Macaca mulatta: one gene and its partners. The protein of the gene in region 1 purifies or fractionates together with the protein of each later gene. This does not show direct contact. Links are inferred from orthologs where the notes say so. Each region holds a gene or a part of one and is shown in the gene's direction. Other genes may lie near its edges. The genes, in order: FIP1L1, CPSF2, P4HA2, CSTF2T and CPSF3.

Evidence for each region.
Region 2: the proteins of FIP1L1 (region 1) and CPSF2 purify together in Homo sapiens (affinity purification with mass spectrometry; 7 studies listed by BioGRID and IntAct, with this or other methods). This does not show direct contact. The link is inferred for Macaca mulatta from reciprocal best matches to the Homo sapiens genes FIP1L1 and CPSF2.
Region 3: the proteins of FIP1L1 (region 1) and P4HA2 purify together in Homo sapiens (co-immunoprecipitation; 3 studies listed by BioGRID and IntAct, with this or other methods). This does not show direct contact. The link is inferred for Macaca mulatta from reciprocal best matches to the Homo sapiens genes FIP1L1 and P4HA2.
Region 4: the proteins of FIP1L1 (region 1) and CSTF2T purify together in Homo sapiens (co-immunoprecipitation; 3 studies listed by BioGRID and IntAct, with this or other methods). This does not show direct contact. The link is inferred for Macaca mulatta from reciprocal best matches to the Homo sapiens genes FIP1L1 and CSTF2T.
Region 5: the proteins of FIP1L1 (region 1) and CPSF3 purify together in Homo sapiens (affinity purification with mass spectrometry; 5 studies listed by BioGRID and IntAct, with this or other methods). This does not show direct contact. The link is inferred for Macaca mulatta from reciprocal best matches to the Homo sapiens genes FIP1L1 and CPSF3.

Annotation. Positions count from the first base shown.
Region 1 is NC_133410.1:80,109,799-80,113,382, reverse strand, and holds part of FIP1L1 (pre-mRNA 3'-end-processing factor FIP1), read left to right. Parts: intron 1-1,451; coding exon 1,452-1,516; intron 1,517-2,166; coding exon 2,167-2,274; intron 2,275-2,646; coding exon 2,647-2,777; intron 2,778-3,066; coding exon 3,067-3,135; intron 3,136-3,584.
Region 2 is NC_133412.1:165,367,751-165,371,981, forward strand, and holds the start of CPSF2 (cleavage and polyadenylation specificity factor subunit 2), read left to right. Parts: upstream 1-1,362; 5' UTR 1,363-1,486; exon of another isoform or gene 1,487-1,709; intron 1,710-4,231. UniProt on the Homo sapiens protein: Component of the cleavage and polyadenylation specificity factor (CPSF) complex that play a key role in pre-mRNA 3'-end formation, recognizing the AAUAAA signal sequence and interacting with poly(A) polymerase and other factors to bring about cleavage and poly(A) addition.
Region 3 is NC_133411.1:141,115,420-141,119,003, reverse strand, and holds part of P4HA2 (prolyl 4-hydroxylase subunit alpha-2 precursor), read left to right. Parts: intron 1-3,095; coding exon 3,096-3,166; intron 3,167-3,402; coding exon 3,403-3,502; intron 3,503-3,584. UniProt on the Homo sapiens protein: Catalyzes the post-translational formation of 4-hydroxyproline in -Xaa-Pro-Gly- sequences in collagens and other proteins.
Region 4 is NC_133414.1:98,063,446-98,067,526, forward strand, and holds CSTF2T (cleavage stimulation factor subunit 2 tau variant), read left to right. Parts: upstream 1-1,482; 5' UTR 1,483-1,534; coding exon 1,535-3,397; 3' UTR 3,398-3,510; downstream 3,511-4,081. UniProt on the Homo sapiens protein: May play a significant role in AAUAAA-independent mRNA polyadenylation in germ cells. Directly involved in the binding to pre-mRNAs.
Region 5 is NC_133418.1:115,401,134-115,405,210, reverse strand, and holds the start of CPSF3 (cleavage and polyadenylation specificity factor subunit 3), read left to right. Parts: upstream 1-1,199; 5' UTR 1,200-1,331; coding exon 1,332-1,381; intron 1,382-4,077. UniProt on the Homo sapiens protein: Component of the cleavage and polyadenylation specificity factor (CPSF) complex that plays a key role in pre-mRNA 3'-end formation, recognizing the AAUAAA signal sequence and interacting with poly(A) polymerase and other factors to bring about cleavage and poly(A) addition.

The DNA of each region.
Region 1 (3,584 bases):
TATCATTGAAAATACCTATGACTTGAGGTCTTACTGGTATCTTTTTTTTTTTGAGACGGAGTCTCGCTCTGTGGCCCAGGCTGGAGTGCAGTGGCGTGTTCTCGGCTCACTGCAAGCTCTGCCTCCTGGGTTCATGCCATTGCCCTGCCTCAGCCTCCTGAGTAGCTGGGACTACAGGTGCCCGCCACCACGCCTGGCTAATTTTTTCTATTTTTTAGTAGAGGGGGGGTTTCACCGTATTAGCCAGGATGGTCTCGATCTCCTGACCTCGTGATTTGCCCGTCTCAGCCTCCCAAAGTGCTGGGATTACAGGTGTGAGCCATCGCCTGCCGTCTTACTGATATCTTTTTGTTCAGTGGGAGTTGGTCCTTCTTTGCCCATTCCTGTTTTCTTCTAATTTCCCTAGTAACAGAAAAGTCTATTTTAATTAGTATATTTGATAATACTACGCATATATAAGAATCCATTATATAAAAAAAGTAAAGAACTATCTGTAACCCCTTACAGAAAATTTATATGAGGCTCATTTATACAAGTATAAATGCAATGAAATATTCAAATAATTATATACGAGTCTTAGATGTCTTGGCCAAGATTACACTAACAACTGACAAAACATTTGAATGTGGATTGGTCCAACTTCAGAAATTTTTTTCTTTATCACTGTGTATTATATTACATCTAAAAAGGTGCAGCTTAATACTTTTTTCAAATATATGCATTCATGTAACTACAACCAGATCAAGATACGAAACATAATTGGCATCCTAGAAGTTTCTCTCATTTTTCCTCTTGGTCATTAACCACCCACCACCGGTAAACACTGTTCTGCTTTCATGCTAGACTTATTTTTGAATTTCATGACAATAAATTTCTATTATGAACTCCATGAATGGTTGAAAAAGGATTTATTAACAATATCAACTGTGGTAAGAACTGAAAGGCCACTGGATTTAACAACAAGTTGGAGGAATTTTACTTATGCTTAAGATTGCTGTATGTGTAATAACTGGCAGGCAAGGAAATGAAGAAAAGGGGTATAAACTATGTTTCCCTTCTTAGCCTTATTTCTTGTGAAGTTTGTTACAGTAGAATGTTGAGTTAGTGGCAAAGAGATTTTTGAAATGGAAACAAGTCAGTTTTTTTTTTAATGTTTTTGCCTTTTATTGAGCAGGTGACTTTAGAAACTAGTTTAAAATGTTTTTTAAAATGTGTATTAGCTGGGCACGGTGACTCACTCTTGTAATCTCAGCATTTTGGGAAGCCAAGGCGGGAGGATTGCTTGAGCTCAGGAGTTCGAGACCAGCCTGGATGACATGCTGTGAGATCTCATCTATCCAAAATTTAAAAAATAAAAATAGAAATTATAAAAAATAGAAAAATAAAAATAGAAATATTACTGCTTTGTTTAAGCTTTTCAGGATAATTTTTGGTTTTTTGTTTGTTTTTAGGAGTTATGGTACAGCACCTGTAAATCTTAACATCAAGACAGGAGGAAGAGTTTATGGAACTACAGGTAAAGTTTGTATTTTCTGTTGCATCAGTAGAGAAATAAGGCACATATCTTAAATAGGTCTTAATCACTCTTTTTTTAGTGGGACACAGAGTCTGACTTTGTCACCCAGACTGGAGTACAGTGGCGCAATCTTAGTTCACTGCACCCTCCATCTTCCAGGCTCAAACCATCCTCCCACTTCACCTTCTCAAATAGCTGGGACTGTGGGCGTGCACCACCATGCTTGGCCAATTTTTGTGTTTTTATGTAGAGACCGGGTCTCGCCATGTTGTTCAGGCTGGTTTTGAACTTTTGAGCTTAAGTGATCTGCCTGCCTTGGCCTCCCAGACTGTTGGGATTCCAAGTGTGCGCTGCTGCGCCTGGCCAAGGTGATAATATAATAGCTCTTTTTAAAGGTAATTTTTGACCATACATCACAGGGACTGGTAAATTTTTTCTGTAAATAGTCCAGTAGCACATATTTTAGGCTCTGCTTTGTTTGGAATGCTTGCCAGGTTTTTTGCCAGGGATAGTAAAAAAATGTTTGTTTTCTGTTTGTGTGTGTATGTGTGCCAGGAATAGTAAAAAGGTGTTTATATCTTCTGTTTGTCTATGGTATGTCCCAGCTTCTTGCAAGTGTAGCTCCTTCATTTTGTAATTTTATAAAACAGGAACAAAAGTCAAAGGAGTAGACCTTGATGCACCTGGAAGCATTAATGGAGTTCCACTTTTAGAGGTAGATTTGGATTCTTTTGAAGATAAACCATGGCGTAAACCTGGTAAGACTGTTGTGGATTATATTAATTTCAATATTTTTAGTGTGAAGTCATCAGAAAATTTTTTGAGCATCAATTTAGAATTTTATTTTTTCATTATAATTTTAATTGTCTTAAGCAAATGATGAGTAATAGTGACTTGGATTATTAAATCTTACTGGCGGCCTCATATTACTTAAAATGTAGACTTTATTATAATGACATTTCTAAAGGAAATAATTTGATCAAAAATTTTATGGTCTTTTTGCCACCATAAATGATAGAGTGATAACTGATAGAAGTCTAAATTTATATTTTTATAGTTTAGTATATTTTTGATGCTGCATAAAAATAGAGCTGAAATATTTGTACACTAAAGATGTGTTTTATCTTTAGGTGCTGATCTTTCTGATTATTTTAATTATGGGTTTAATGAAGATACCTGGAAAGCTTACTGTGAAAAACAAAAAAGGATACGAATGGGACTTGAAGTTATACCAGTAACTTCTACTACAAATAAAATTACGGTAATTAAGAAATACTCCGGAATACCCTTGGCTTGTCTACCGTCCCACTTTTACTCCCCAAATAAATCACTTCCCTATAAAAGTGGTTAAATGATATACGATAGTTTAAAAATTCCATTTTGTTTACCATGTTTGTTTTTCCCTTCCCTCCCTTTTAGAGTTTTGTATTAATGATTATCTGATGTTCTTACTTTCAAATCACAGACTAGCCACAGCTAGTTTGTCTTTATATGGCCTATTAATTAAATATTATGTGGTATCTTAATGGGGAATATGTTATTTAACTTAGGCCGAAGACTGTACTATGGAAGTTACACCAGGTGCAGAGATCCAAGATGGCAGATTCAATCTTTTTAAGGTGAATTTTAGTAAATTATCCTTGGTTGCTCTCATTTTTTGTTCTTGAGTCTGCTCCCATACCACTACTCAAGGGACAAGATTAAAGTGGAAATAGCTACCTTTTTTCCAAACCTTCAGCTTCCTGGTGACTTACAAATTTGCTGATTGTTGTTTTATCTCCACTTTTGCAAGCATGTGAATTTATAGCCTATTATACTAACAAATGCCAAGTAAAACTGTTCTTTGCTATATGTTGTGATTTCATTTTGAGTTGTAATACGTGTTTGTAGGATAGAAAAGTTAGTGGCAACAGATTAAGCTCTCATTGTAGATAATACTCTAATCTTTATCAACAGAATTGGAGACTTTTTTGTTTTCTTTAAAAAAAACGGTAAGGAAGTGGCATACTGTTTATCTCTATGATACTGGTAACACTGATACCATTGGTGTAATGCCCCGATAGCTCAA
Region 2 (4,231 bases), on another chromosome or scaffold:
CTCACTGCAACCTCTGCCTCCCAGGTTTAAGTGATTTTCTTGCCTCAGCCTTCCGAGTAGCTGGGACTACAGGCACGTGCCACCATGCCCGGCTAATTTTTGTATTTTTAAGTAGCGACGGGGTTTCACTGTTGGCCAGGCTGGTCTCGAACTCCTGACCTCTTCATCCGGTCACCTCGGGCTTCCAAAGTGCTGGGATTACAGGCGTGAGCCACCGCGCCTGGCCATACGTTTTTCTTTTAAAAGGCAAGGTCGGCCAGGTGTGCTGGCTCACGCCTGTAATACTAGCACTTTGGGAGGCTGAGGCGGTTGGATCACGAGATCAGGAGTTCGAGACCAGTCTGGCCAACATAGTGAAACCCCCGTCTCTACTAAATATACAAAAAATTAGTCGGGTGTGGTGGCGGGCGCCTGTAAACCTAGCTACTTGAGAGGCTGAGACGGGACAATCGCTTGAACCCGGGAGGCGGAGGTTGGAGTGAGCGGAGATTGCGCCATTGCACTCCAGCCTGGGTGACAAGAGTGAACCTCTGTCTCAAAAATAAAAATAAAAAAGCAAACCAAAAGGGTAAGCGCATCATTTTGGTGCAACGGTGTCGGCTCAAGAGGATTTGCGGTTTGGAAGAGAGCGAGGTTAGCGAGGAGACAGAAGGCTAGGACTTATATGAACGTAAGCTGCTTGGGGAGGGGAGGCAGCCAGCGTCTTCCCTGCTTCAGGCCAGGCATGGGATACCGGCTAGCGGGCGGTCACTGGGTCACATCTCTACGGACGTTTTCCTGTTATAACAGCCTCAGAAAACCCATTCCAAAAGCTCCGGCCCGGAAATCCCATCCTCCACCCGAAGAAAACTCCATTTTCCTTTCCCGTCACCTTCGCTCGGAAGCCCCGGGGAAGCTCAGACCACCCCTCCACACACGCACAGCACCGAGGGCCTGCCTAGAACCCTCCCCGTCACCCTCGCCGTGATCCGCGGCGCGGCGGCCCCCCAGGCTCCCCAGACCCACCTGCAGCCTCAGTGCCAACAGGGACCCCGAGACCAAGGGCAACTCAGCCACCCGCGCCAGTGGAAGCTGCGACCTCGGGACCTGCCATTCGCCGCGCCGGCACGGAGCAGAGGGGTGACGCCAGCAAATCATACTACTTCTTCCTCCTCAAGGTTGACTCCTTTTTTTTTTTTTTTAGCTTCCAAACATTATCAATAATTTCTGAATACAATTTCGCTACACTCAGACGAGGCGTGCAGGTATGAGCGCCGTCGCCTTCCCACAGCCCCGTGCCCACCCCCCCGGAGATGGTCTCGCCCTGGGTCCTCCTCGTTTACACCGCTCGCCTCCAGCTCCAAAATGGCGGCCGCCGCTGGGGGGGCTTCTGCCGGCCGGTAGTGCCCCGCGCTGCTAAGCCAGCATCGGCTTTTCCACCTCTTGAACCTGGATTCGCTTAGGGGTTGGGAAGGGCAGTGGACGGCGTTGGGGGAGGCCTGACGAGGCAAGTGAGGGCGGGAGAAAGGAGTAAGCCTCTGGCGGGGGAAGGCGGCGTCACTGGCCCTCCGGGAGCGCCGGGCCCCGACTCCGACCCGGTCTCCCCCAAGGACTCGCCCCTGCCGCTTCGGCTGCGACTGTCCCTGTCGTTCCTGGCAGAAGTGGTCAGCGAGGGAAAGAGAAGTGACTTCTCCATGGGTTTCAAGCTCCCAGCTGTTTTGCGGCAGCTCGTACGGTTCCCTCCCGGGATCTTCTTTCCTCCTTTCTGCTTCCCTCTGCTTACCCTTTCATCTCTTGGCGCTGGAGGAGTTAAGCCGACGCCAGCTTTAGCTGCTTAGCCTCGTGGCTACGGCGTTCTCAGCCTCCCCCGCTCGGGCTCTTCCCGTCGTTTTGGGTTGAGAGACCACGAGGTTACTAAGCTCTGGGCACCGCGTAGGCGTCCTTTTAGTTCATCGACTCCAGAGACCTTTAGGATGTTTGTACCACGCTGTACTAAAAGGGTCTCGGCCCTTCGCGCCCTCCCGCCATTGCCCCCCCAGCGCTTCCACTATCACTGTGAAGTTATAATTCTTTTTTGACTTCGTACTGTTTTACGTGCTCTTTAGAAAACAAGAGGTCAGACTGTAACCCCGGCAAGTCTGGCCTCCTGTGACCAGGCGAACCTGAGCTATCATTTATACCCATCCCCTAATTTTTAATTTTACAATCCCTTTAACCCCTTTTTTTCCTTTCTTTTTTCTTCTTCTTTTTTTTTTTTTTTTTAAATAGAGACGGGGTTTCACTATGTTGCCCAGGCTGGTGTCGAACTCCTGGGCTCAAGAGAACCTCCCATTTTGGCCTATGCTGGGATTACAGGCGTGAGCCACCATGCCCGGCCTTGCAGCCCCAGTATGAAATTGCTGCTTTCCCTCAACTGACAGGAAAGAGACTTCCCCACTCAGTGAGTTCCAGGGCTAACCCAAACTCCTCTGTTTTCCCTTGGATTTTGCTTAGTTCACCTTAGTTGTCATCAACATGCACGGTCATGATTTTTTATTTTTTATTTTTGAGAAGGAATCTCGCTCTGTTGCGCAGGCTGGAGTACAGTGTCACGATTCTCGAGGCACTGCCACCTCTGCCTCCCGGGTTCAAGTGATTCTCCTGCCTCAAGAGTCACGAGTAGCTAGGAGTACAGGCGCGCACCACCACGCCCGGCTAATTTTTGTAGTTTTAGTAGAGACAGGGTTTTACCTTGTTGGCCAGGATGATCCGCCCGCCTCGGCCTCCCAAAGTGCCGGGATTACAGGCGTGAGCCACCGCGCCCAGCTGATTTATTATTTGAGACGGGGTCTCGCTCTGTCCCCCAGGCTGGAGTGCAGTGGTGCCATCTCAGCTCACTGCAACTTCCGCCTCCCGGGCTCAAGCAATCCTCCCACCTCAGCCTCCCAAGTAGCTGGGGTCACCAGCGCAGCCACCGCGCCCGGCTACTTTTTTGCGTTTTTAGTAGAAATGGGGTTTTGCCATGTTGCCCAGGCTGGTCTGGAACTCCTGAGCTCAAGCGATCGGCCTTCCTCGGCCTCCCAAAGTGTTGAGATTACAGGCGCAAGCCACTGCGCCCGGCAACATGCACGATCATTATTGAGAGGGCAAGTAACTGTGAGATATTGGGTATTGGATATACAACGATGATCACTTTTACTCCTCTATACATTGAAAATCCATTCAAATACTTTATGTGCCCGCTTTATAACAAAATAACTTGGGTTAGGGCAACAAAAAGGCTTTATAAAGGAGTAAATATGTGAGTTGGGTCATGTAGCATCAAAAGGAATTTGCTGAGCTCAAAAGGAGAAGGTAATTTCGGGATTCAGTACAGGAATATAGAGCTTTGAGAAGCTTTAGCATACTTAGGGAGAGTGGGATAATCAACCTGCTTGAGCATTTAGTGCATGAGTGATTGGTGAAGCAAGAGGTAGGTTAAGATCAGCTTGTGAAGGATCTTGATTTCCAATAGGGAGTTTAGATTTTATTCAGTAGTTAGCAGGAATCCAGTGGATATTTTGTGCAAGGAGTGAGCAGGAGGGTATTTGTTTTTTTAGGATGGTCTCTGACAGCTATATAGAGGATCAACTGGGAACAGAAAAACTAGATGAAAGGAAATTGGCAATCATTCAGGTAAGGCAATGAGGGCCTCCATGGAGGCAGGACATAAAGGAGGTCAGAGAGACACTAAGTAAATGTCAAATGGGATTCACCTGCTGACTGCTAAGTTAATGGTAAGAAGGTGACTTGAGTTTTTATTCTGGGAGAATAAATGGTTGGCAATACTATTAAAACTTAGTCTGAGACATGCACACAAACATACGATGGTGCCAACCTGCACTTTAGGGGTGACAACACAATGCTCTATAGTGTAAAGCATTGATTTTTATGGTCTGGAGTCTAGATCTGCACTGTTATAGTAGTCACTAGCCACATGTAGCTACTGAGCACTTCAGATGTGGTTAGTCTAATTGAAATGTGCTGTAAATATAAAATACACAGTGGATTTTGAAGATTTAATATGAAAATGTAAAATATTCAACATTATATGTTGAAATAATATTTTGGTTCTACTGGGTTAAATAAAATACATTAAAATTCACCTGTTTCTTTTTCACTTTTCCATGTCACCACGAAGAAATTTAAACGTACATTTGTGGCATGCATTATATGTCTGTTGACAGAGCTGTTCTAGTCTAGACTAGATGTGGGAATTTGTAAGGAGGTGGAA
Region 3 (3,584 bases), on another chromosome or scaffold:
CAAGGGCGTGACAGGTCTCTCCATTTATTTATATCTTTTTAAGTTTTCTTCATATAAGCCTTGCACATTTCTTAAGTTTAGTCCCAGGTAGTTTCTTTGTTACTGTTAATTTACTTTATTTCTTCATTAGTATTTTAACTGGTTACATTATTATATTAGTTTACTATTCTATGCCAAACTGTTGATTTTAAAAATATATTTCATAGTAAGAGCTAATGTTTACTGAGTTCTTAACTGTGGCAGGAACTTCTAAATGCTTAACATATATATTAACTATGTCACAGTTATGAACAGCTGCTCATAACGGTGTCACTGTCTCTGTTTTGCCTATGAAAAAGCAAACTTATGCAGATTGCAGCTAGTGGTTGAATTTACTTATTCCTTTTTTGGTTTTTAGCTGATTCTCTTTGGTTTCCTGGATAGCATTAACACCTGGAAATAAGGAAAATTTTATTTTCTCATAATACTTGTAGTTCCTTTGTTTTTATAATCTTATTGAATCGCCCAGAACTTCTAGAGCATAATTACGAAGAATAGGAATCCTTGTCTCATTCCTGAACTTCCTGGGAATTCCTATGGTATTTTACTGCCAAGTATGCAGTTGGCTGTTGGTTTTGTTTTACGATTATTCTTCTGTTTCTAGTTCATAAAAGATTTGCTCCCCATTTGACATCTTTCAAAGAGATCTACTTGCTGCCATACCCCATCACTGATGATTGGGAGGGAGGATTTAGCTGGATTCTCTATTGCTCTGCTCCTAATAGAATTGTAGTGGCTGAGGTGACCAGGAGGCCTGACGCTCATGGAGAGACCTGAAATAGGTTCCTATCCTGGCCCCTGGACCTCATCTTAGAACACCTTGGCTTGAGGTACTAGGACATCTAGGGCTTTGAGTCAGTGGTTGGCATCATCAATGTGCCTGAGGGAGGGGGCTAGCCAGATGTATGGAGAATGGGGACTAGGACTCCCCTTACTACTCAGCTCCAGAGTCCTCCAGGAAAGAAAACTACTTTGCTGGTTGTGCCAGGATTTCCTGGGAGATTTCTTACCTGTTCTTCAGTTCCAGACACTGAGAACATTTCTGTGTGCATGTGTGCATGTGTGCATATATGTGTGGCTGGCCAAGGGGTAGTATTGGGAAAACATGTATTTGAATAGAAGCCATGTGAAGAGCCAAACAAGGATGGCAAACATGTTTGGCTCTTCACATGGCTTCTATTCAAAGATAAGCTGACCCCTCCTTTCTGGAGACTGTGAGAGACAGATGCTAGTCTGGCTTTGAAGTAGAGCCAATGAGCTTAATTTGGCCTGTGGGGAATGCCTGGCAGCTGTCTATGGGGTCTCTGGCCTGCTTTCAAAATAGCCCTGTGTTTCCCCTGGGGCAGAGCACAGCTGCTCAGAGCCTCTTTGTGGGTGTCAGGCCAATGCTGAGGCACAGATGTTTGGATGGGGTCTGGTTGTGGCTGCAGTTTTCAGGGAAGGACTGACATACGCTGGAGCTCAGGAAGGGCCGTGAGTAGGAGTTTGGGAGCCGTCTGTCCTGCTTGCGCTGGCCATCTTACCAGATCATGCTATAGCAGCACAGTGTCTAGGTTGGTCCATCTCACCCGCTTACTAGCCTTCTGGTCCATTTACTCCTCTCCATTCCGTCTGCCACCACCTGGCCTGGGCCACCATCATCTCTTGCGCTGACCTCTGCCGTGGCCTCACTAGCCTCCCAGTCCCCACTCTGGCCCCTTATTAGTCAACTCTCCATGAGTTATTCACAGTGATCCATTTTACATTCAAATTTTGAGTGTCCCTCCCCTGCATGAAGCCTTCCCCATTTCTCGTTGGCCACAAGGTTGCATCTAGTCCCTAGCTCCTGCGTGTCTCTTCAGCCTATTTTACTACTTCCCTTAACCTTTAATCCACACCTACTGCCACACCCATTTTCATTCCCAGGCCTCTGGATTGCTGCTCCTTCCCTGTTCCTGTAATGTTTCTCTACTTGGATAACTCATGTTAACCCTTCAGGCCTCAGCTAGGTGGTCTCCTCCCCTAGGAAGCTATTCTTGACACTATTCCCTGAGCTTCCACAGGACATTAAGTTCACCCATGCTGTGCTGCAGTTACCTGGCTGGTTTTCTGCTTTCCCCACTCGACTGAGTTGTAAGAGTGCAGGGGCCATGTCTCAGTTACCTAGCATAGTGCCAGGCACAAAGTAGGCACTCATCAATATTTATTAAAATCAAGGGGAAGTGTGTTGGGGTGGGAGTACCTGGGCCTGTGGCTGCACCCATGTGAGGTCATTAGGACAGTCCACAACTGAAGCACATGGACCTTTGCCATGTTGGCTGACTCTGGGCAGCGAGTCCCTCCTGGGGTTTCACTAAGCCTGTCTGTGGAGACTGGGGGAGTGAAGTAGATGAGGGGAGTGTGTTTGTAGTGTGTACATATGTGAGTGGGTGACTTCCAGGCAGTGGTTCACTTATTTTAACTCACAGAATCTTTTCCTGGTTTTATCATCTGACTTTTAAGGATCCCAAGGGAGTGAAAACTGTGCCATCTGTCTTTGCTTCTTGAGGCTGTGGGAACCCAGTGTGAGGTGGTACAGCAGGAGAGTGTTTGGATGGGTTTCTTGGCAGAGGAGCCCACTGAGGTTCAGAAGGATGGTGGAACTTGACCAAGTTGAGAGAAGTACGTAAGGCGGAGGCTCAGGGATAGTGGCACAGTCTGAATATGGTGGGAGTAGCTAAGCTCAGGCTGTGCTCAGGCAGGAGTGGTATGTGTGCCTGGCAAGGAAAGGGGCTAGCCAGGCAGATGCATGGATGGATGAAGCAGGCATAATTCTGCAGGCAATGCAGACCTGGGGAGGAGAAGGGATGAGCAGTGACCGAGCAGGGCAATAGCCAGGAACTGATTGCAGATTGGGAATGTGGAGGCCTCAGACTTTTGCCCTCACCTGGCCTGCAGCATCTTGGGGCCTTGGCTAGAGCCATTGGCTGCAAAGCTTCCTCCACTAGCATGACAGCAAATGTGGTCCCAGTGCTTTCTGGGAAAATACTCAAGGCAAAACAAACAAATCAAGTATTCCTTCTCCTCCTTCCTTCTAGCTTGCACGAGCCACTGTTCGTGATCCCAAGACAGGAGTCCTCACTGTCGCCAGCTATCGGGTTTCCAAAAGGTAAACAAAGAGCAGGGGTTGGTAGCTGCTCAAGTCTCAACTTCAGGACTTCTCAGTGCCTACCCTAGGAATGGGTGGCTTGCCTTTTCCTGCCTGCTGGCGACTCCTCACCCCTTGTTGCAGCAGGTACCCTGTACTGCCTGTTCGTGCTGGCCCTGACTCTGGGGACAGAGTGCAGGACCTCATGGAAGCCTGCCCTTCCATCTTCTTTTCTCTGCTCTTTTCTTTTTACCCAGCTCCTGGCTAGAGGAAGATGATGACCCTGTTGTGGCCCGAGTAAATCGTCGGATGCAGCACATCACAGGGTTAACAGTAAAGACTGCAGAATTGTTACAGGTACAGATAGTCCCTGGGACTGTAGGAGTTGGGAAGTGGGTATTTTTGGCTAGATGGTCTCACAAGGTGTCCAGAACTGGGC
Region 4 (4,081 bases), on another chromosome or scaffold:
AATATTACATTTCAACTTATAAACAATATAAAATTGATGAGCTATTTTTACATTTTTTGGTATTTGATCATTAAAATCTTTCATGTGTCTTACATGCATGGCATACCTCAACTGGAATGTTAAATTTTGACTGGAAGTACTTTCTTTTTATTTCTTTTTTTGTTTGTTTGTTTGTTTTATCTTAGTGTTCTGTGAAATGATTTTTATTTAAAATACAATTTATTACTGCAAAAGTAGATTTTATACCCAAGTTGTCATAAATACTAAAAAAGTTTTCCAATAGCCTACTGAACATTAGTTTTTATATTTAAATTAATAAAAAATGAAATTTAAAATTCAATTCCTCAATCACACTAGCTGCATTTCAAATATTCAATATGCGTAAGGCAGTGTAGATCTGGAGCTATGCGAGACCAACCTGGGTTAGAATCCTGACTTTGCCTCTTTCCGGCTGCTTGTCCTTGGGAATTTACCTAGCCATCCCCAAGTTTCAGTTCTATCTTCGAATTGGAGTCGAGGAAATCCCACAGTGAATATGTTTTAACTCCTGCCTGGAAAGCTAACAGCAGAAGACAACCACTATTTGTTTTTCCCTTCATGGAAGTGGTGGATTCACTGCATGATATAATAAAAATCAGAACCAATCAATGTAGGGATAGTTAAGTAAATTTCATTATTCCATACTCTGAAGCCATAAAATGCTAATAACTAATTTATTTAATCACCAATTAATACTGAAATCGGTTATTATTAAGGAAGAAAACCGTAATATTAGGAATAGCACGACTGCTGCCCGTGTGCTCAAAAAAACCTAGAAGGGTCTGCCACCCATCCATTAACAGCGGTTATAGGAAGCCACAGAGCGGGGGCAGGGTCCAGCAGGCACACGCTTCAGTTTATATTTCTTGTCAGTTAATTTCCAAAAACGTTGTTCTAAAAAGGAAATATAATACTGTTTTACTTTAAGGGGCAAATCTCAAATGTGCTTTGAAACGACTACGCTTTTGCCTCAGTCTGGAATGTGATTTGAAATCTAGCTTAACTATACTATAATAAAAGGCCACATGAAAATACTTTGTCAGAACGAAAAACATGCCGCCTTAAATCCGCTTTCGGTTGGCGGTTTCCCGCCGGTGGAACGGAAGCAAAACCGCCTTTGACGTCAAGGGAGGAGTCCCCTCCCAGTTACTATGGTGAAGTCTATGCGGCCATCTTTACTGTGGTCATCTCGCACCAAGGGTGTCGTAGCGGGGCTGTTGGGGCTCCACAGAAAGTCGGCGGAAGGTGAAATGGGAAAGGAATCATGCGACTCTGTAATAAGAAGCTGACAGAACCACGAAGGATCAGGGACTTAAAGCATTAGATAACTTGTTAGTGGGATGCAGGTTCCACAGGCAAGCAGAACGATTCAAGCGAATTAGTAAGGTTTCTGCCCGGATCTTGAGAGCCGCTTCCGTTGCTCAGCGGAAGTGTCGGTCGCAAGAGGACAGACGCCTGGAAGAATCCGCTATCGGCAGTGTGCACAACCGGAATCATGTCGAGTTTGGCGGTGAGAGACCCGGCAATGGATCGATCACTGCGTTCCGTGTTCGTGGGGAACATTCCGTATGAGGCAACTGAGGAGCAGTTAAAGGACATTTTCTCGGAGGTTGGTTCTGTTGTCAGTTTCCGGCTGGTATACGATAGAGAGACGGGAAAACCCAAGGGCTATGGCTTCTGCGAATACCAAGACCAGGAAACCGCGCTTAGTGCCATGCGGAACCTCAATGGGCGGGAGTTCAGTGGCAGAGCGCTTCGGGTGGACAATGCTGCCAGTGAAAAGAATAAGGAGGAGTTAAAGAGCCTCGGGCCTGCAGCGCCCATTATTGACTCACCCTATGGGGATCCCATCGATCCAGAAGATGCCCCTGAATCGATTACCAGAGCAGTAGCCAGTCTCCCCCCGGAGCAGATGTTTGAGCTGATGAAGCAGATGAAGCTCTGTGTCCAAAACAGCCACCAGGAAGCTCGAAACATGTTACTTCAAAATCCACAACTGGCTTATGCGCTGTTGCAGGCGCAAGTAGTGATGAGAATCATGGATCCAGAGATTGCTCTGAAAATTCTTCATCGGAAGATACATGTCACACCACTGATCCCAGGCAAATCTCAGTCTGTGTCTGTCTCTGGCCCTGGCCCTGGCCCTGGTCCTGGCCCTGGCCCTGGGCTCTGCCCAGGACCTAATGTTCTGCTGAACCAGCAGAATCCACCAGCTCCTCAGCCTCAGCATTTGGCTAGAAGACCTGTGAAGGACATTCCTCCTCTGATGCAGACTCCTATCCAGGGTGGAATTCCAGCTCCAGGGCCAATACCAGCTGCAGTTCCCGGACCTGGTCCTGGTTCCTTAACTCCTGGAGGAGCAATGCAGCCCCAACTTGGAATGCCAGGGGTTGGCCCAGTGCCTTTAGAGCGGGGACAAGTGCAGATGTCAGATCCTAGAGCTCCTATACCTCGTGGACCCATGACTCCTGGTGGTCTACCTCCTCGAGGACTGTTAGGAGATGCTCCAAATGACCCACGTGGAGGGACTTTGCTTTCAGTCACTGGAGAAGTGGAGCCCAGAGGTTATCTGGGTCCACCCCATCAGGGTCCCCCCATGCATCATGCCTCTGGTCATGACACTCGTGGCCCTTCCTCACATGAGATGAGGGGAGGGCCATTAGGAGATCCCAGACTGCTAATTGGAGAGCCCAGAGGCCCCATGATAGATCAAAGGGGTCTACCTATGGATGGTAGAGGTAGTAGAGATTCTCGAGCGATGGAGACTCGCGCCATGGAAACTGAGGTCTTAGAGACACGTGTAATGGAGAGGAGAGGAATGGAGACCTGTGCCATGGAAACCAGAGGGATGGAAGCAAGAGGCATGGATGCAAGAGGATTGGAGATGAGGGGCCCTGTCCCCAGTACAAGAGGTCCTATGACTGGTGGAATTCAGGGTCCTGGTCCCATTAATATAGGGGCAGGTGGCCCTCCTCAGGGACCCAGACAGGTCCCCGGCATTTCAGGGGTGGGGAATCCTGGAGCTGGTATGCAGGGTACAGGCATACAAGGAGCAGGCATGCAGGGAGCAGGCATGCAGGGGGCAGGCATACAAGGAGGAGGGATGCAGGGGGCAGGCATACAAGGAGTGGGTATACAAGGAGGAGGCATACAGGGGGCAAGCAAGCAAGGTGGAAGCCAGCCTAGCAGTTTTAGTCCTGGGCAGAGCCAGGTCACTCCACAGGATCAGGAAAAGGCGGCTTTGATCATGCAGGTTCTTCAACTAACTGCAGATCAGATTGCCATGCTGCCCCCTGAGCAAAGGCAGAGTATCCTGATTTTAAAGGAACAAATCCAGAAATCCACTGGAACTTCTTGAAAGGTTTTAGAAAATATTTGGCTGTAGTCTCAAAGTTTATTCTGTAGCATGGAGAATGGGTGCAAAAAGCTGACTTCTGCATCCCCACACTTGGATTAGGGTTTCCCTCCTCCTAGAACCTAATCTTACTTTTTGTTCTTTTTCTTTCTTTCTGTTTTCCTTTTTTATTTTTAATTGAGGGTGGGGGGAGGAGGGAGTGTGTCTGTTCACTTTAAGTTACTGTAAAATAACTCTGAACATGACAACATTATGCCAAATAAGATTACAAAGAATAAGCAGCAATATTGAAGTGTCTACAGTATGTTAACTACATTTTTTAAATGTTGAGTAAAACTTTGTGAAAACTGCTCATAAAGACTAAAAGTTGACCTGTTAAAACGTTAATGTACTAAGATGGTTTTAAGATTTTTGGTTGTATAACAAAATAAAGTTTACCCAAAAGTATAAGATACATTTTTTGGTAAACCATTTAAAATACAAAATCCTATTGGAGGCAATAGGATAAGCATTGTCTTAGTGTTTTAGAATTATTTTTGAAATATTAGAGTTAACAGGATAAGGTTAAACTTGTATTAGAATTGTTTTTTTCTAAAGTTGTGTTACCTGAAAAATCAAGGAGTACACCTGGTTTACTGTCGCTTCATTTATCCCAGCCTTCAGAGACCAGCAAGGTTCTGCCAGGCC
Region 5 (4,077 bases), on another chromosome or scaffold:
TTGCAGCGCCCGGGACACCCTTCACCTTTCAGGCACTTGGCTACCTCTTACCTTTCAAGGTCCCTTTCAGGCTGCAGGCCTTCCTGGGATCTCAAGGCTGGGCTCAGGGACCCACAGCTTCAGTGTACCCCTGATCACAGCGCCACGATCTGCTGTGGTCTCTGATCTCACTCTCCCAGCTGCACGCTGGTCAAAGGCGGAGCTCAGGGACTCCTCTCTGCACAGCCAGGGCGCCTGGCAGGGGACGCGCTTACTGAAGCCGAGAACTTTCTGGGGTGTCTGTGACACCCCAACAGCAATTCCCAAGTACCAAACGCCTACCACGTGCCATGCACGGTGCTAGGTGCACAGATCCCTCTCACCCTCACTGACCAGCAAGCCTGAAGGATAACAGCCCCTTTCAAACGAGGATGCCAAAGCGCCCGAAGAGTCAGTGACCTGCCCAGGGTCACCAGGGTAAGGACGGATGGGGCCAAGCTCAGGGCCTAGGGAGAGCCGGCTCCAAAGTTCCTCCCAGACGCCAGCCTGCTTGGCACCTGTCTGTCACCGTGATGGAGCACCTTCCACCTACTGGGTGCGGAGGATGTGACAGCGAAGGGGACAGACAACCCCGACCCTGAGAGGCGGGAGGCGGCCGAAACGAGGCAGAGGAAGAGGCAGGGAAACGGCCCGCGCTGCCCGCCTTGCCTCCTCTCCCGGCTGGCAGCGGCTCCGGAAGCTACAGTCCACAACGCCCACGCCCGACCCGCGGTTCCAGGCGCCTCCACCCGCGCCCCGGGAGCGCGGACCCGCAGAGAACGCAGCCGGAGCCCAGGCATCCCTCCCCCGCCCTCCCTGCGGCCCCACCCATCCTTCCCGGCCGTCCGCGCCGCTCTCGGGGCCGTGTTCCCGTCAGGCCTCCGCGAGCTCGGCCCCGAGTGGGACGAGGGCTGGGCGCTCACCTCGCAGCCGCGGGCCCATCCTCCGGTTGCGGGCTTCGGGGTCCGCGTGGGAGCGCCGCGGCCTCCGGCACCCAGGCAGCTACTCCCGTTCCCGCTCCAGCGCCGGCTTTTCCAACGCTCCTGCCCACGTCCGCCGGGCCCCGCCTCCGAGACTAAGCGCAGGCGCAGTCCTGACGTCCCGCCCCCGGTTCCAGGACCCCGAGTGGTGGGAAGCTTCGCAAGGGACGTCCCCCAACCGGAAGTCGAGGGGAGGAGTCTAGTGCCGCGGGCTCCGGAGTGACGGAAGTTGTGCTCTTGGTGGATGGGGTTCTTCTTTCTTTATTTACCTTCCAATTTAGGAAGACCCCGGCGACCTGTTCCCCGCCCCCGCTTCGCCCTCACACTTTCGGGATGTCTGCGATTCCTGCTGAGGAGAGCGACCAGCTGCTGATCCGACCTCTGTAAGAGACCAGCGAGAGAGGGAATGAGGCCCAGGGCTGTGAGGGGTGCGAGGGATAACCGGAGACTTTGGCCTCCTCCGTCGCCCGCGCTCCCACCGTCCCCGGCAGCCTGCCTTTGGTCCGCGCTTGCGGGCCAGGCTTCTCAGGCTCGAGGGGTTGGAGGACCACTGATTGGAAGGGGCCTGCTAGAGTGAACGGGATTTTGCTTCTTTATCAGTTTCAGGGGAGGGTATGTTGGAGTCGGAAAAAAAAAAGTTTTCCGGGGCCACCGGCCGCTTTTCGTACACGCTAAAAAGCGTTTTCACTTAGCACAAGCACGGATCTCTGCGCGTCAGGGCAAGCCGTGAGAGAGCCGGTGACGCTTATGATCGACAGGATGAGAGGAGGACCTGAATGAGGCTACAGCGGTGCAGGGAAGAATTAAGTCTGTTTCCTAACACCAGGGCTTCACATGTGCCAGAAGTTAGAAAATATTAGGGACGTGCCGTGAGTTTCGATCTTCTCAGCTCAGGTCCTAGTAGAATAAGGAAGGTGTAAAGCTGGAGAGGAGAAAGTGCAGAGGTGTTAGGGACAAAAACTCAGCCCTCGACTGTCCGTAAGGAGAGTGGCCTTTCAGTGGACATGGTCCTCATCAGTCGGGAATGCTGCTGAAGGGGAGATGCAAGATGCTGAAGGGGAGATGTAGGAACTTGGATTCCTACAGATGAGCATTTCGAACCCACAACATGTTTATTGTTAGATGTTAGTTGGCACAACATGAATATACGCTTTCCAAAAGGTAGAAAGTATCTCCTTTACACATTCGTTCAGTAAGGCTTCATTGAGCACCTGCTTGGGACATAGTCCGTTTCCTTCTGCTTAGATCACACCTGTCATGTCTTCCTGTGATGAGCAAACACTGTCGCTTGATCTGCTAACTCAATTCTTTAGCAAGTGTCAAGTGTCAAGCACCACACGTGGGGATACAGATGCAAAGGAGGGCCCAGTTAATTGCTCTCGCCCTTATGGAGAGAATTACAGTGCACAGTGGGAAGTATTGGAGAGATACTTTGGTATAATAGGAGACCATTACTTTGAAGTCAGACCTGAAGTACGTTATCTACTTGACCACTTAGTAGGACAACAACCTCACTAAACCTGTTTTCTCATGTGGAAATGAGATAAAACTTGAAGAGTAAAGATCGCGGTAGGTGCTTTGTAAATAATAGCTAATCTAAGAGGGCAGGTAGGCATTGCACTGAGCACTGTGAAAGTATGGAAAAGGGATTTCTGACAGATTGAGGAAAAAAGGATACCTCATGCATCCTGAAAAATGTGATGCTTGAGCTGAGTCCTCAAGAATGAGTAGGAGTTGAAGACTGGGGGGCCCAGGGTGTTCTAGGCAGTGGAAGTGGCACATGTGAAAGTGAGAGTGGCCACAACTTGTGGCCAGATTCCTCATGGCTGTAGCTAAAGAGTTGAGTTAGCAGATGAAGCGACAGGCTGTTGAGGTCCAGTTTAGGAAGCACCTCATATACATAGGAGTTTGGACCTTTATCAGATAGTCAATTACAGGGAGCCAGCAAAGGCTGTTAAGCAAGCATGGATATTGTGAGGAATTATGTTTTAGGAAAATCACTCCTGGCAGCAGTGTAGCAGCTGAATAAAAGGATGGATTGAGTAGAGCAGGTTCAGTAAGATATCATTGAAAGATTCCAAGTCTAGGTGATCAGAGCCTGTAGTGAGTGACATGAGTGTGAGAGAGTACGCAAATGAGATCTTCAGGATTTTGTGGCTGATCAGCTGTATCTGGAAGGGTGGTTGTGGGGAGGGAAGGCAGGGCAGAGAGGATGTTATGATGACTCGGATTCCTAAGTTTGGCAGTTGGGAAAGGGTAGTGTTCTTCACTCTAGGAGTGTAGGAAGTGGGGCAACTCTGGAGTAAATTTGGGAGTTCGGTTGTTTCATAACAGCTTTATTGAGATACAGTTTACATACTATACAACTCACAATTTATATACCATACAACTCTCAGTCGTTCTTAACATAGAGTTATACAACCATCACCCCTCTCTCATTCCAGAACATTTTCATCACTCCCAAAAGATACCTTGTATTCATTAGCAGTCATGGACAATCCCCACTACCTCTCCAGACCTTAGCAACCACTAATCTACTTCTCTACAGATTTGCCTGTTGTGGACATTTCACAGAAGTGCGATCATACAATACATAGTCTTTTGTCTCTGGCATCTTTCATTTAGCGTAATCTTTCCAAGGTTCAAAATTGAGGAGTTTTATTCATTCAATAAGTATTTTTTGTGATTTACGTAGCAATACAGCAGTGAATAAGGTGGACAATGCCTCTGTTCTTAGGAAGCTTTCATTTAGTAGCCTGAAGCAAGACATAAGTGGATACAATAACTTCATGTAGTTGTAAGTATTAAGATAACATGATGCTGGGTTGCGGCTTGCTGTGAAGGGCAAATTAGAGGAGGTAGTCAAGAGAAAGCATCTGAGAAGGTGACATTGGAACTGAGACCCAAATGATACAAAGGAGCCAACCACATCAATATCTGAAGACAAAGCATTTCAGGAAGAAAGCAGAGCAAGTAGGGGGCATGTGGTGGAAACCAGTTTGGCATATTGAATATGAAGTCCCGGGAGAGATCCTAGTAGAGATACCTAGTGTCCCGTGTATGTATTAAAGGTCTGGAA